3 linked regions of the Sus scrofa genome follow. The protein of the gene in region 2 interacts with the protein of the main gene of each other region in a biochemical or structural test. Links are inferred from orthologs where the notes say so. Each region holds a gene or a part of one and is shown on either strand. Other genes may lie near its edges.

What was found.
Region 1: the proteins of PDGFRB (region 2) and SLC9A3R2 form a complex in vitro, tested with the Homo sapiens proteins (2 studies listed by BioGRID and IntAct, with this or other methods). The link is inferred for Sus scrofa from reciprocal best matches to the Homo sapiens genes PDGFRB and NHERF2.
Region 3: of the proteins of PDGFRB (region 2) and PTPRJ, one has a biochemical effect on the other in vitro, tested with the Homo sapiens proteins (2 studies listed by IntAct). The link is inferred for Sus scrofa from reciprocal best matches to the Homo sapiens genes PDGFRB and PTPRJ.

What each region holds. Positions count from the first base shown.
Region 1 is NC_010445.4:39,942,132-39,946,791, reverse strand, and holds the end of SLC9A3R2 (Na(+)/H(+) exchange regulatory cofactor NHE-RF2), read left to right. Parts: intron 1-1,921; coding exon 1,922-2,101; intron 2,102-2,420; coding exon 2,421-2,574; intron 2,575-2,648; coding exon 2,649-2,692; intron 2,693-3,030; coding exon 3,031-3,093; intron 3,094-3,327; coding exon 3,328-3,486; 3' UTR 3,487-4,421; downstream 4,422-4,660.
Region 2 is NC_010444.4:151,164,580-151,169,239, forward strand, and holds part of PDGFRB (platelet-derived growth factor receptor beta), read right to left. Parts: intron 2,936-4,660; coding exon 2,841-2,935; intron 1,951-2,840; coding exon 1,818-1,950; intron 1,068-1,817; coding exon 963-1,067; intron 656-962; coding exon 545-655; intron 1-544. UniProt on the Homo sapiens protein: Tyrosine-protein kinase that acts as a cell-surface receptor for homodimeric PDGFB and PDGFD and for heterodimers formed by PDGFA and PDGFB, and plays an essential role in the regulation of embryonic development, cell proliferation, survival, differentiation, chemotaxis and migration.
Region 3 is NC_010444.4:14,591,631-14,596,290, reverse strand, and holds part of PTPRJ (receptor-type tyrosine-protein phosphatase eta), read left to right. Parts: intron 1-788; coding exon 789-1,016; intron 1,017-3,693; coding exon 3,694-3,960; intron 3,961-4,660. UniProt on the Homo sapiens protein: Tyrosine phosphatase which dephosphorylates or contributes to the dephosphorylation of CTNND1, FLT3, PDGFRB, MET, KDR, LYN, SRC, MAPK1, MAPK3, EGFR, TJP1, OCLN, PIK3R1 and PIK3R2. Plays a role in cell adhesion, migration, proliferation and differentiation.

The sequences.
Region 1 (4,660 bases), on a different chromosome or scaffold from region 2:
TGGGCCTCCCTGCCAGGGTCGGCCCCCACCCCGACGGCATTGCAGCCCCTCAGCCTGAGGGTCTAGTCCGAGCACTCCTTGGACCCTGACCCTAATGAGAGAGGTCTGGGCCGATGTTGGAAGAACCCCCCACCGGGCTGTGTGGGGAGAGGCGGAATGCCGGGTTGAGGCAGGGAGACGGTTTCAAACTGGATGTGACTTCATGTGGCCTGGCCTCGTGGCCCCGGATGCCCCCCCATCCTGCTTCCCGTTTGGGGGCCTTGAGAGGCCACGCCCTGGAACCACTGTGGAGGGCGTGGGAAGAGGCCACAGGGCTGGTGCTGAGGGCTGGCCTTTCACACGGCTGGTCACTGCGGGTCTGTGTGCAGCCTGTTTGTGAGCGTGTGTTTGCAGAATGGTCCCTGGGACCCTGCGATGTGCCTTGGCCCCCAGGCCCTTGTCCACACGCCAGGCGTGGCGTTGCCACACATCCACCGTCTCTCACGGCCTGGCTCTGCTCCGTCAGACCAGCAGCCCTGGGACCTGTGCTCTGACAGCCCGGACCCAAGAGGGGCCGCAGAGCCGCACCCCTGTGCTTCCAGGCGTGTCTGGGCATGAGTGGGTCGCTGAGGTGCCAGAGAAGCCAGGCTCTCACAGTTCAGCCCATGTCCCCTGGCTGAAGCCTTGGGGGACCGAGGCACCATGCCTGGTTCCTGGAGTTGCTGGGGTTGAAGGGCACATGGTGGCCCGCAGTGGGGTTTCTGAGGGGACAGGCTTTGGGGTCAGGGAAGGGGTCCCGGAGGAGGGTCACAGGCTGGACTGGCAGAGGGTGTCCCCCACAGGTGGGAAGGCCCGGGGACCAGGGCGAGGCAGTCCCTTGTGAGAAAGATGCTGTCAGATGGGGGCTTTGGGCTCCGAGGCCTGGAGGGGGTCCTCCCTCAGCGCCACCGCCAGCCGGCCCAGGGTCCCCCCACACAGGGAGGCGTGGGGAAAGGGCCCTGGTGAGCACCCCCAGCCCACCCCACTCCGCCCGGTGCTGTTCACCTGCCGGCTCCCTGCTCGGAAACCTGAGCTCCCGGCCGCCCGGCCGCCGCCATATTGGGCTGACACCTGCTCCGTGCAGGGGTCGCTGCCTTGGGCCGTGGCCGGGTGGGCCTCCTGGGCCTGGGCCCCTGCCTGCGCGCCCCCACCCCGCACCCCCGGCCCGGAACCCTCCTGCACGATGCCAGAGGTAAAGCGAGGCAGGGCCCTGGGGGGTCGAGGGCCTTCCCAGGGGAGCAGGAAGGTGGGAGGCAGGCCCCGCCCTCGCTCCCCTCTCATCCCCGGTGCCTGTGCCTGTCTGTCGTCGAGGCTAGGCGGGGGTGGCTCCTGCTGGCGCTGGAATGTGAAAGCAAACACAGCCCGCCTGCTACCAGCCCTGTGGAGACCTTTGGGAGAGTAAACAAAACTGCCTGCCTGCTGGAGCCAGCCCCACACTTCCGGATGGGGTTGCGGCGGGAGGGGGGGGGGGAGTGTGACAGCAGGCAGGGCCCATGGGGACAGCCCTCCCGGAACACTGATGAGCGGTGGCTCGTCTCACCTGGTCTCTCCGAGGACCCGGGTCTGTCCTCAGCCCTGTCCTTGAGCCAGCCGATTCTCCCAACACCCCTGGAAGGTCCCTGACCCCCTTGTGGGTCCTTTGGGGTTTGGAAGCTAAGGCTTCGTCCAGGACCCCGAAGCTGCATCGTCACAGGCAGCCTAAGAGGTCCCCCTGCCGCCCCAGGCATGGGTGTGGTGCTGTAGGCCCCTGAGACCAGGGCTGCCAGTCAGGTAGGGGCACGATGCTGAATGTGGGGTGGCTTCTCTCCAGCCGCCTCCACTGCTGCGTTCACAATTGGTGTCAGCTCCTCCAGGGGTGGGAGGTAAGGCCTGGAGCCTCATCCCACATCCCCTGTGCCTGCAGGATGTCAACGGGCCCCTGAGGGAGCTGCGCCCAAGGCTCTGCCACCTGCGAAAAGGCCCCCAGGGTTACGGGTTTAACCTGCACAGCGACAAGTCCCGGCCTGGACAGTACATCCGCTCCGTGGACCCAGGCTCACCTGCTGCCCACTCCGGCCTCCGAGCCCAGGACCGACTCATAGAGGTACCGCCATGGAGGCTTCGGGGTGCTGGCTGCCCTGTGTGCGCCTCTGTGCCTGGCCCCTTCTGTTTGTGTCTGGGCCCACGGCCCCCCCATGTGTGTCCCCGCCGGGTCCTTCCCTGTCTGCGCAAACGTGTTCCGAGCCCCAGGTCCTCCCGGGAGGAGGGGAGATGCTGGGAACCTGAGCTGCTGCTTCTCTGGCTACCCTGGCTGGTGACAGCGTTGATGAATATTTGATGCCACACCTGGCCAGGTAGCCCGGGGGGCTGGTGGGGCCCTGCCCTGCCCTCAGGCAGCACTGACACCGTGCTGGCGGTGGCAGGTGAACGGGCAGAATGTGGAGGGGCTGCGGCACGCGGAGGTGGTTGCCTGCATCAAGGCGCGGGAGGACGAGGCCCGGCTGCTGGTGGTGGACCCCGAGACGGATGCGTACTTCAAGCGGCTGCGGGTCACACCCACCCAGGAGCACATGGAAGGTGGGTGGCCGCCCTGGGGGCCAGGGCTGGGGAGAAGCCTCGGGGGCAGAGCCATTGACACACTGTCCCCACAGGTCCACTGCCATCACCTGTCACCAATGGGACCAGCTCAGCCCAGGTGAGAGGGTGGGAGGGGACAGGGCTGGCCCAGGAGACCATACGGGGCACCTCTGGGAGTCCCCAGGCTTGACAGAGCCCCTCCCGGATCTGTCCTTGTGTAGGCGCGGTTGGGAGACCCTGTCCGGCCCAGTCACTCCAGCTCTAATACTCCTATGGGTCCCTTCCAGCTCAGCCACACCCTCGCCCAGGGTGGGGGTGGGGACAGGGGGCACCTACTGTGCCGAGTAGATGCTCCGTGGCCGCTGCCAAGTGGAGGAATAAATGCAGCTCTGCTGCTGTGTGTGGGGGCCCTCCCGGCCCCGGGCCCTAAAGCCACACCTTACCTTGGTTTCCCAGCTCAATGGTGGCTCCGTGTGCTCGTCCCGAAGTGACCTGCCCGGCTTAGACAAGGACACTGAGGTAGCTGGTGCCCCTCCACCTCCACTGCTGTGGTCCCTCCCTGGGGGGCCTGGAGCCTTGGGGGCGGGTGTCCCCGGAGCTGTCCGCCTGGGCGGTGAGGCCACCACCGCTGGGAAGCCCTCCTGAGCCTGCTGCCCGGTGGCCTCTGGTGTGCGTTCAGTGGGAAGGGTCACCCGGCTGGGGGCTTGGGTCCAGGGCTCACTCTGGCCACCTGGCCACCGTGTCCACCCCTAGGACAGCAGCACCTGGAAGCGTGACCCTTTCCAGGAGAGTGGCCTCCACCTGAGCCCCACGGCGGCTGAGGCCAAGGAGAAGGCGAGGGCCACCAGGGTCAACAAGCGGGCGCCACAGATGGACTGGAACCGGAAGCGTGAGATCTTCAGCAACTTCTGAGACCCCCCACCCTCCGCCGCAGCCGCCGCCTGGTCCCCAGCCGGGCCTCCTCTGGGCATGGACCTTGGGCCTTGCCCAGAGCGCCCCGAGCCTCAGTGGACTGCAGCGGGGGCACCTTCGCTCGCTAAGCCGTGGTGGTCCCACCACCCCCCATGAACCAGCCCGTGCCCCAGTGAGCCCCCGTCCTGCCCCCTTCCCACGGGGTGCTGGGGAGCGGGCAGAGGAAGCCCCTGAGACGGGAGGGACAGAGACACCCAGAGAGGTGGGCTGGGGAGGGGAGGCTGGGGTGACCCGCCAGGCCGGGCCCTTGCTGCTCTGCCTGGGCCTGCTGACTTAAAGGAATTTGTGTTTTGGCTTTTTTTCCAACACGAGCTCTGGCTCCACACATGTTTCCACTTAATACCAGAGCCCCCACCCCCATCCCCTCAGGACGTGCTCTCTAAATAATTGCAATAAAACAAACCTTTCTCTGCAAACCATTTCCTCCCACCTCCCTCAGCAGCAGCCTTCCCCGAGGGAGTCCCAGGGCCTTCCAGGGGCAGAGTTCTGGGGCCCCCAGGCCGTGTTCACGCAGGCTTCGGGGAGGCTAGGAGCCCCACGTGGCTATAAGAGCTAAGAGCTGCCTCGCTGCTCAGGCCCTGCCCTCCCTGGCGTGGGGGTTGGGTCGGGGGCAGGGCCTGGGTTCTTGGTGGGGCCCGAGATGGAGAACTTCGGCCCTGCCCGAGGAGGGCAGCCTGTAGACAGGCCCCTTGTCCCTGCACGGCAGCCCCCAGGAAGGTCCCCAAGCTCTTGGCTCGCCTGCCCTGAGCCGCCCCTGAAGATGCCCCACCGACTCCGCCTTCCTTCCTGCCCAGAACCAGACCGACCCGGCATCGCTGTCTGCCCTAAAAGCCATAGCGCATGCGCGCCCTCAGAATAAATAGGCCTTCCTTGTATCCTGGCTCTCTGTTCACCCTGAACTTTCATTGCAGGGGTTGGGGGTCATTTTCCTGGCAGGGAGGCAGCAGCCCGGCAGCTCCCCAAATCTCAGCTGGTGCACACGGAGACCGGGTCCTGAGCGGCCCCTCCCCCATTCCCTGTGCGGGGGAGGGGGGGGCAGCCCCACCCCTCAGCTCCTGCGCCCTCCTCAGCTCATGGGGACCCCGGTGCCTCAGGGCCTACCCCCTTTCACCAG
Region 2 (4,660 bases):
ATGGTGATAACTTTTTTTTGTGTGTGTGGCCTAACTTGTAATCAGAGCTTCAAATAAAAACATCTGGCAGGGGGCGTTCCCTGGCTGTGCAGCGGGTGAAGGAGCCAGCATTGCTGCTGCAGCGGCTCGGGTCTCTTCTGTGGCGCAGGTTCAATCCCTGGCCCAGGAACTTGCCCATGCCGCTGGAGAGACCTCATTCCACGAGCTGCATGAAAGCAGCCCCCAGGGAGCATGCTGGGGGGGTCTCCGGGGTGGGGCTGCCGCTCATTTCAGGGTCGCATGAGCTGGTCCTTATCTCAGGCTTTAACATCATTACGAAATGTTTCCACGTCAGAGGCCTCCGTGATTTAGAAACCATTCGGGCCGGGGACCGGAGGAGCGCTCTGGCCGGGAAGGTGACGCGACTCTGTGACCGTCAGGCTCCGTGCGGCGACGGCACTGGACAGGATGGGCACGCCCTCTGGCTGGAGTGTCCTGGGGTCCAGGGACGGGGGGGGGGGCCTTTGGCCCCTGGCACTCTCCCAGAATCCCCTGGGGCGGGTACCTCCTTTAGTGCAGGCCCCCAGCAGGTTGACCACGTTCAGATGAGGCCCGAGATGACTCATGATCTTCAGCTCCGACATGAGGGCTTGCTTCTCACTGCTGCGCGCTGTGGCTGCGGGACAGAGGGGGGGCCTCAGGCCGGGGCCGTCGCCGAGGCCCGTGGAGGCCCCACCAAGGCCTCTGGCCCTTCTGCCCTGGTCTGCGCTGACCCACATACAGACCCAGGCAGCCACGGAGGCAAGATCCCCGCCCAGAAGAGGGGGGGGGGATGGGGGGAGGGGAGGAGGCCCCCAGAGGAGGAGAAATTTCCCAAAGCAGAATCCCCAGTGCTGCCAGCTGAGGCGGGACTGCCCTTCTCCCGCCCGGAGAATCAGAATGAGGCCTGCTGGGGGCAGGGGGGCAGGGCTCCCAGGACTCACATTTCAGCATCTTGACGGCCACTTTCATGGTAGCCTGAGAATGGCTCAGGCCGTGAGCTGTGGCCTCCACCACCTGACCAAAGGCCCCAGAGCCCAGGGTGCGTCCTGGGAAAAGACCATTTCTCAGCGCCGGACCCACAAGGAGGTGCATGCCCACGCCCCCAGAGGTCAGCCACCCACCCTGTGCCCAAGCTGCTTCTCCCATGCCCCTGCTAAAATCACAGTGCGCCACAGCCCCGCCTGGTCTCACCTCCGTCCTGCCTGGTCTCATCTCCGTCCTGCCTGGTCTCATCTCCGTCCTGCCTGGTCTCACCTCGGCCCTGCCTGGTCTCACCTCGCCCCTGCCTGGTCTCACCTCGGCCCTGCCTGGTCTCACCTCGCCCCTGCCTGGTCTCACCTCGGCCCTGCCTGGTCTCACCTTGCCCCTGCCTGGTCTCACCTCGCCCCTGCCTGGTCTCATCTCTGTCCTGCCTGGTCTCACCTTGGTCCTGCCTGCTTTCCTGCCCATCTTTAGCCTCTGGAAGCCGTGCTCCCTCCCAAAGGGAACACGGCTCTTCTGAACCCCCTCAGCCTCTCTGGCTGGACGACGCACCAGCCTGGCACTCAGCCCGCCCTCAACCAATACTCCCCCCCCCACCAAGGGGTCCCATCTCACTCCTCACAGGCCGTAGGACCTCGGGGCTGGTGGCCCTTGGGGATCTTCTTGACCCCGCCAGAGGGGCCCTGAGGCCAGAGATGCCAGAGCCACCAGCCTGAGGTCTCCAAGCCAGTCGTGCCCAGGCTGGGCCTGGACCTCAGATAGTGCCCGCCCCCCGCCCCAAGTGCCCAGACGGCCGCTCGAGGTCCTGGACTGACCAAGCACGAGCTGGTCCCGTGGCAGCTCCCAGGTGGAGTCGTACGGCAGCTGCATGGGGTCCACGTAAATGTACTCGTGGCCGTCAGAGCTCACGGATTCGATCACTTTCCACCGGATCTCGTAGCGCGGCTTCTGCAGGACGAGACCAGGCGTGGGTCATCGGAGGGGGGCCGGGCCTTGAGGCCCACGAGGCCCAGCGCCTTAGGAAACAGATGGGGCGAGAGACCCTGAAGCCCAGAAGGGTTGGGGCGTAGCCGGGGTCACACAGCAAGTCATCCGGGCTTCCCTGGGCTCCAGGGGGAGGGCGCCCGGGGGAGGCGGCTGAGGAGCAGCCGACAGCGGAGGGCAGGCGCATCAGAGCCTCCTCACTGGCTTCTCCCAGAACCGCCACCGCTCCTCAGACGAGAGCAGAGGAGCAGGCAGCCCTGGAAGGTGACTCGAGGGAGGGGACGCTCTGCCGGGGGCGGCCGGCCCGGCCCCAAGCGGGAGTCTCGGAAAGACGGAACCTCGGAATGTTGAAACCACGGGATGCTGGAATCACAGGGCTGCAGTCTTAGACGCACAGAACTGTGGCCGAGCTGCAGCCCGAACCCAGGAACTGCAGGACACTGGGGTCATGGAAGGATAAACTCTCAGAGCTGACTCTCAGCACTGCTGACGAACGGGATTAGAATTCCCGTCCGTGGAATCCTGGGTGGTTTTAGGGCTGCGAGCTGGAGAGGCCAGGCGGCCCACCGGGAAGGTCCCAGGCCCTGCGGCTGGGATGGGTGGGGGCGACGCCTGGCGGGGCCCGGGGTGGGGGCTGGGATGACGGCAGAGACAGGAGGCCCCGGGACGGCCGGGACCCGGCTCGCGGGGCCCGGGGTGCTGGGGCCGGAGGCAGCTCGGACCCCGGCCTCACTTTGTATCCTTCCACCTGAGCTCCGCACTCACGGCCAGACCTACCGCCCTCGAGGGTGGCAGAGGGCGTCCGCGTGAAGACGGCGGCGTGGCAGGCCGCCCCCAGGAGGCAGGGCGCTTACCTTCTGCCAGAGCATGACGAGGATAATGAGGGAGATGACGGTGAGGACCACCAGCGCCAGGACCGCGGAGACCACCACCACCTGGAAGGGCAGGGCTGGGGCGGGCGCGAGAGCTGCTGAGCGGCAAACGGGCCCCTGCCGCTCCCCCCGCCCCAGTCCATCTCTGGCACCACAGAGCCCTCCCCGCCCGGCCCGCCGGAAGGGAAGCAGCCCCAGCCGCCTCGGCCTGAGAGGTCAGACCCTCAGGCGCTCCCGTAAACACCCCAGACGGTGCCCTGACTACCCCGCATCGCTCCCGGCCTCCCATCCTTCAGCCCTTTGCCAGGGTCCGTGCGGCCTCCCTGCCGTGGCTGCGAGCTGGATGTGAGCGCCTGACAGCTGGGCTGGGCGCACGTCTCCCCTGAATCCATGTCCTCATCAGCGCTGTCGCAGCCAGGACAGAGCCCGACCGAGGGGCCCACGGGCCCGAGAGCTGAGCGCTCGGGCTGATGCTTCCCAACTGCAGAAGGCGGCCTCTTTCCTCCCCCACTTCACCCCGCATGTCCATCGGGGGTGTGGTGGTGATGGCAGTTGTAAAGCACCCCCCCCCACCCCGGGAACTCGGGTAGCCACAAAGGGCCCGCTCAAGCCTGAGTCTCCTGTCCCCCCAAGGCCTCAGCCTCTCTGCCGCCCAGCGACCCCCTCCTTCCCAATCCGCCGCATCCACCCCGGCCAGACTCTCATGGCCCCTGCCCTGCCCCTCCAGCCACCCACGTAGTGCCCCGGAAACTCATCCCTCCTCCCTGTCCCCCAGCTGCCCTCCTCTGCTCCCTAGAGAGCCCCTCCCTCCTCCTCAGGGACTCAGACCAGCCTCGCTCCTCTCCTCCCTCTCCCACCAGGTCACATGTCCTGGGAAGGAAGCCCACATCTCCTAGGGAGCCATCTCCGAGTAAAAAGGGGAGCCTTCAGCCACGGCAGTTCCCCGGGCGCTGGTGCATGGCTCCCCCTCAGGTGGTGCACCAAAGCTTTACTTCTTCCAGCTCGAAGCTGGTCGGCAGGTGCCCGCTTTCAGGTACACATGTGGGCGCACGGGTGAGATAAGGCATTTTAGCCCCCAGGCATCCCACCGGAGAGCGGGGGAGGCAGGTCTGTTTAGAGGCACGCCTGCCTGCACAAGCCCACGGACCTGCGTGCAGGCATAAAAATGTCCAAAACACCTCGAGCAACCCTCATGGCTCCCCTTGCCCTGGCTCCCGCCTCTCCTACAGCCCCTCCCGTCTGCCTCTTGCCCAAGCCCCGAAATACACCCACACTCTGTTCTCCAGCCAGGCTGAATGGCTTGCACGTCTCTGAACGCACGCTGCCTCTGGGCTTGCGCACCGGCTGTTCCCTCCGAGCAGAGCCCCCGCCCCCGCCCCCACCGGGCTAACTCCTGGTGATCTCACGCTGACCTAAAGCTTCCTCTCACCAGGATGCGTTCCCAGATCCCACAGCCGGGGCTGGAACCCCTCCTCCCTCTAGGCTTCCCCCCGGGTGCCCACCCCCACAGGGAGGTTGCCCAGTTCCCTGTCTGCCTCCTCCCCGGACTGCGGGCACTAGGGGACGGGCAGGGCTGGGCTTCTCCAGTGAGAAGCTGGGACTCTGCGACCATTTACTGAACGGGGCAACAGGTGACTACATGAAGCCCGTGCATGTGTGGGACCGCCAGGCAGCCCACGCAACGCAGGGCTGTTGATACGGACAAGAATCACGCATGGACGTGAGCCTGCGCGTGGGCTCAGCAGGCACCCGAGGGCGGGGACTGGGGTGTGTGCTGTTTCGGAGCGGCGTTCTGTCTCCCC
Region 3 (4,660 bases), about 140 Mb from region 2:
AGAGAAGGGATGCGGCTCAGGCAAATCTAGCGGATGTTTTCTGCATCGACAGTGGAGGAGTCATTTGCAGACTTCATAGAATTTTCAGGGGTGACCCTGTGCATTGAGAACAAGAACTCAGTCCTCATTTTCCACACAAGGAAACAGAACTCTGGAGAGAGGTGTTAGGATTCTTGAGGGCAGGCATCAGGAACCAGGCTTCGGGTATCTTGGACTAAAAGAGCAGCTTCTCGTCTCGTGTATATTTCCCTGCTGGGACAGCCAGGCAAGGCCTTGAAGGAAGAGGCGAGATGACTCTTGTCTGTCCTTGTTGCTTCTTTCTCTTTAGCAGCTTTCGCCTGCTTCAGCAGTTCTGCCTGGTTCGCCCTCTCTCTGCAGGGGTCTGGTCCAGGACAGAGTTTCTGGAGTGAGTGGGCTCTGAGTAGCCACGTGCAGATCACGTGGCCGTCCCGAGAAATCCATCTTTGGAGCTGGGTGGGAAAAGGTGACTTCTCGAAAGAAGGGGAGAGATGCAGATAGCTGAGTTGGTGAGAGAGGCCCCAATGTCTATGGTGCTACCTGGGATAAAAGTGCAAAGTCACATACCGGCCTCACTCAGGGCCCTCTCAGGAGCGTGTATCCTTCTGGGGGAGGAAAGGAACAGATATTTGTGTGGTAGCAGCTGTGGGTGGGTTGGCTTCTCATGGGGGGAGGGGAAGGGGTGGGGGAAGGGCAGCGGCGCTGAAAGAAGACAGGTTTGTTCTTCTGTTGCACGTCACGTCTGCTTTGCTTTTTTTGGTTTGAAACAGATGCCAACAACACAGACAGCTTGTCCCAGCCACTCAGGAGCCCTGGCGTCCCTGGGTACAAATACCGACTGGAATCTGCAGACCTGCCCTCCGACCCTTCTCTGACCCCGGACACCACGGAAGTCCTGGTTTGGGGGTTAAAGTCTGATGCAGGGTACAAGGCCACTGTTTATCCCCGGGCAGCAGATGGCCCCGAAGGACACCCCCAGGCCACAGAGTTCAAAACAAGTATGTTGAATTTTGTAACATAGCCACAGCCAGAGCTTTCTAGCACAAAATTTGTCTTCTGGGATTCTGGTTCTGAATTACCTCTTGCTTCTTAAGTAGTTTTGCTGTTGGAGGGAGTTTAAGTAGTTTGTTGTCAGAGGGAGTTTTCTGGAAGAGATTTTTGGACAGAGCAGATCCAGTAAGTTTCTTTTCCTTTTCTTTTTTTTTTGGCTGCACCCATGGCATATAGAAGTTCCTGGGCCATGGAGTTCCTGTTGTGGCTCAGTGGGTTAAGAACCCGACTAATATCCATGAGGATGTGGGTTCGATCCCTGGCTTTGCTCAGTGAGTTAAGTAAGGATCCAGTGCTGCCACGAGCATAGTTTGCAAATGCCGCTTGGATCTGGTGTTGTGGTGGTCGTGGTGTAGGTTGGCAGCTGCAGCTCCGATTCAGCCCCTACACAGGGAACTTCCTTAGGCTGCAGGTGCAGCCCTAAAGAGGAAAAACAAAAAAGAAAAAAAAAACAAAGTTCCTGGGCCAGGGATCATACCTGCTCCACAGCAGTGACCTGAGCCACAGCAGTGACAATACCAGATCCTTCACCGCTAGGCTGCCGGGAAACTCTGTTTCTTCTTCACTTTGTGTCCGAGACCCTTCTTTCATGGAACTCAGTGCAGCGTGTTGAGCAGCTGCCATGTGCAGACGCTAGCTGCTGCCTCAGTCTCTCTTTCCTTTGACTCTGCAGACTAGCCAATGAGTCCAACTACTGTGATGTTTTTCTCTTGAACTTGATCTTCACTTTGTCCATGTTGGTTAGGAGTTTTCCCCTTGAAAGACGAAAATGTGTTTCTTCTTTTGACCTGATCTTGGAAGGCCTGCTGACCTTCCTGTGACATTTGCTGGCACCCACAAGTGCCAGGTATATTTCTATCTCTAATTTGTCAGCACTCCCACTCTGTATGTGGAACAATATTTAGAGGCTTTTGGGATCGGTGCTGATGAGAGGGTTAAGAAACGCATGGCTCCTCCCCTCGAGGGATGCCCGTATGGATGGGGAATTGAGGCAAATGTACATGAGAAGTCCATGGTCAGCCTCTGTGGGCTCAGAAACAAATGCTGCAGCCCTGTAGTCCTCAGGGGCTCGGTGGCAGGCAGCACAGACCGACTCTGGTTATGTTATCCCCAAATATATCTGTTCCAAAAGGCTGTCAGAGACCCATAGAATGGAGGGAGTGAGTGTGAGGCTGGAGGTCAAGGACAGAAACCAGGCTAGCATCCAGGAAAGTCTGGACTACGCTGGACTGGTGACCCTCCCTCCAGATTCTAAGGTGGTGAGGGGAAAGGGGCTCCTCCAGGGGTGCCGTTGACAATGATGGGGCTGTCCTACTCACAGGATGCTAGTGCAGGGGTGAGGGGGGCTGGGATCTAGGCTGTGGGCCCCTCACCAAGCCATGCACCCCAGGGCAGAGCCATCCAGAGGAGGGTCTCTCTGCCTGATTTGCTAAAAGAGGCCCTGCAGATTAGTGTGGGCTGGGGCCCTCCTTTTTAAAGTGATTCGAGTGGAATTAAATAATTGATTATATGTTAAGCTTTTGGACAAATGGATACACACAGAGTCTGATTTGTGTTGATTGTCGTAGTGCCTAATAAATGATATCTGTATTATGTACACTCGTAATAGTTATGTTATGGTCTTAACCTCCTCTCTACTGTGGGTGTATGTATATGTATGTGTGTCTATATTCATGTACAGACACACACCCAGACTTTTTTTCAAGTAACTATCCAGGTGGAGTTAAGAGAACCACTGGAGGATGTTGAGACACCCAAGACTAGTTGTGGTAGAAAATCATGTCCCAGGCTGGAGAGCAAGGGGGAGGAGACAGTGTTTCTAGAGCCCAGTGAGGGGCTGGGGCCGTGGAGGACGCAGCTGGACCGGAACAGGTGACCCAGAGCAGGAGGCAGTACAGAGAAAGACTCTAGTTGTTTTCCTCCTCCAGCCCTCCAGGAGCCTGCCTGTGTCACCCGTTGGTGGAACCTGGTCCCAGGCCACCTGGCAGGAATGCCACTCACCCCCCAACCTGGGCCCCAGGGATGCAATGTGCAGGGGTCAGCCTCCTGGACACAGAACAGGCAGAAGAAGGTGGAGGGTAACTTGGGAGGGTGGTGTGTGCAAATGATGAATAACTTGTACTCTTTGAGTCAGAATTGTTATCCTGCTTTCATAGATGAGGAAGCTCAGGTTTTCCTAAGATCCACCTGCCTATTAAAGCTGAGCTGACCTTGGAATCCAGAGCTGCCCCCTGCTAAAGCCTGTGATCTTTAAGTGATCATGTAGAGTATGTTTATATGCTTGAGACCTTTTGGGGTCACCCTGAACCTCGTGGGGGGCATGTTGTTTGAGGTGTCCATTGCGATCTCTAAGAGTCAGCTCACAAAGAAGAACACAGACTAACTCCCCAGGTGCAAGTGGTCAGGTGGTTTCTTCACTGAAGATGCTGCCTGAATTCTGCTGGGACCCCCATACAGTTGGGTACGTTGTAGTTGTACTTAAACGTGTAGAGTTGGAAGGAAGAATCACTGAGTGCTGCTTAGATTGGATGATGTGCCCTGCTGACAGCTCCTCTCTCTTTCTCTCTGTCTCTCTCTTTGGCTTGGCCCTTCTGGTGGTTGTTAACGCCTCTTGTGTCTTCGCAGATTCCAGTCAGGTTTTTGATATTAAAGTTGTGAACATCAGCGCCACCAGCTTGACCCTGACCTGGAAGATCAATGATCATGAGCCGTCCTCCGTCTATACCTATGAGATACAGGTTGCTGGCGAGACAGATTCCTTCAATCTCACTGTCAATGAGACTCAGGCCGTCCTCACTCCACTCAGATCGAGTTCCTTGTACAACATCACGGTGTGTCCTCTCCTCGACGGTGGTTCCACGGGCACGCCGGGCTTTCTCCAGGTGTACACCCGTGAGTCCACTCCTGCTTTGTTAACCTTTCATGCTTGCCTGCTCTGTGCCAGGCCCTGATACGAGACAGACTCTATTCCTGCCCTCACCGCTAAGCGTGTGGGTCCACAGGGACTCTTGCTGCCTTCAGGATGTGTGATCTAATAGCGATAATCATTGGTTGACCCTCCCACATGCCCAGCGTCACGTGACGTGCTTTCCTTGCACTGTCTCATTTAATATCCTCAACTCTGTGACATGTCTGGCATTAGCCTTATTATGTGGATGAAGAAGCCAAGGCTGAGAGGTTCTGTGGGCAGGTGTCACACCTTGTAAGTGTCAGAAGTGGGATTAGGCAGCTGGGCTCCCTGGACTCTAGCCTGTGCTTATAATGACCATTCTAGTGTGTTAGAGATGGGGAGCTAATTGGTACATGGAGACAAAAGGAATCTGCGTGATTCATGTCCCTTGTTCCTTTGGATGCTGATATTATAATGAGGCAGGACACAGCTACTATGCCTTGTCTTTTCTTCTCAGCCAACCGTCCCTTAAAAATAAGATGATAGGCAGCAAATAAAAAGGTTTCTGTTCCAAAGGAAGTCCAGTCATTAAAACAATAATGATATACCCATAGTTCAGTAATATAGCAGTATGATAATATATAATAGTATAATCTTTTCGGTATCACACTGTGCCAGAAGATTTACCTGTATCGCAGTGGT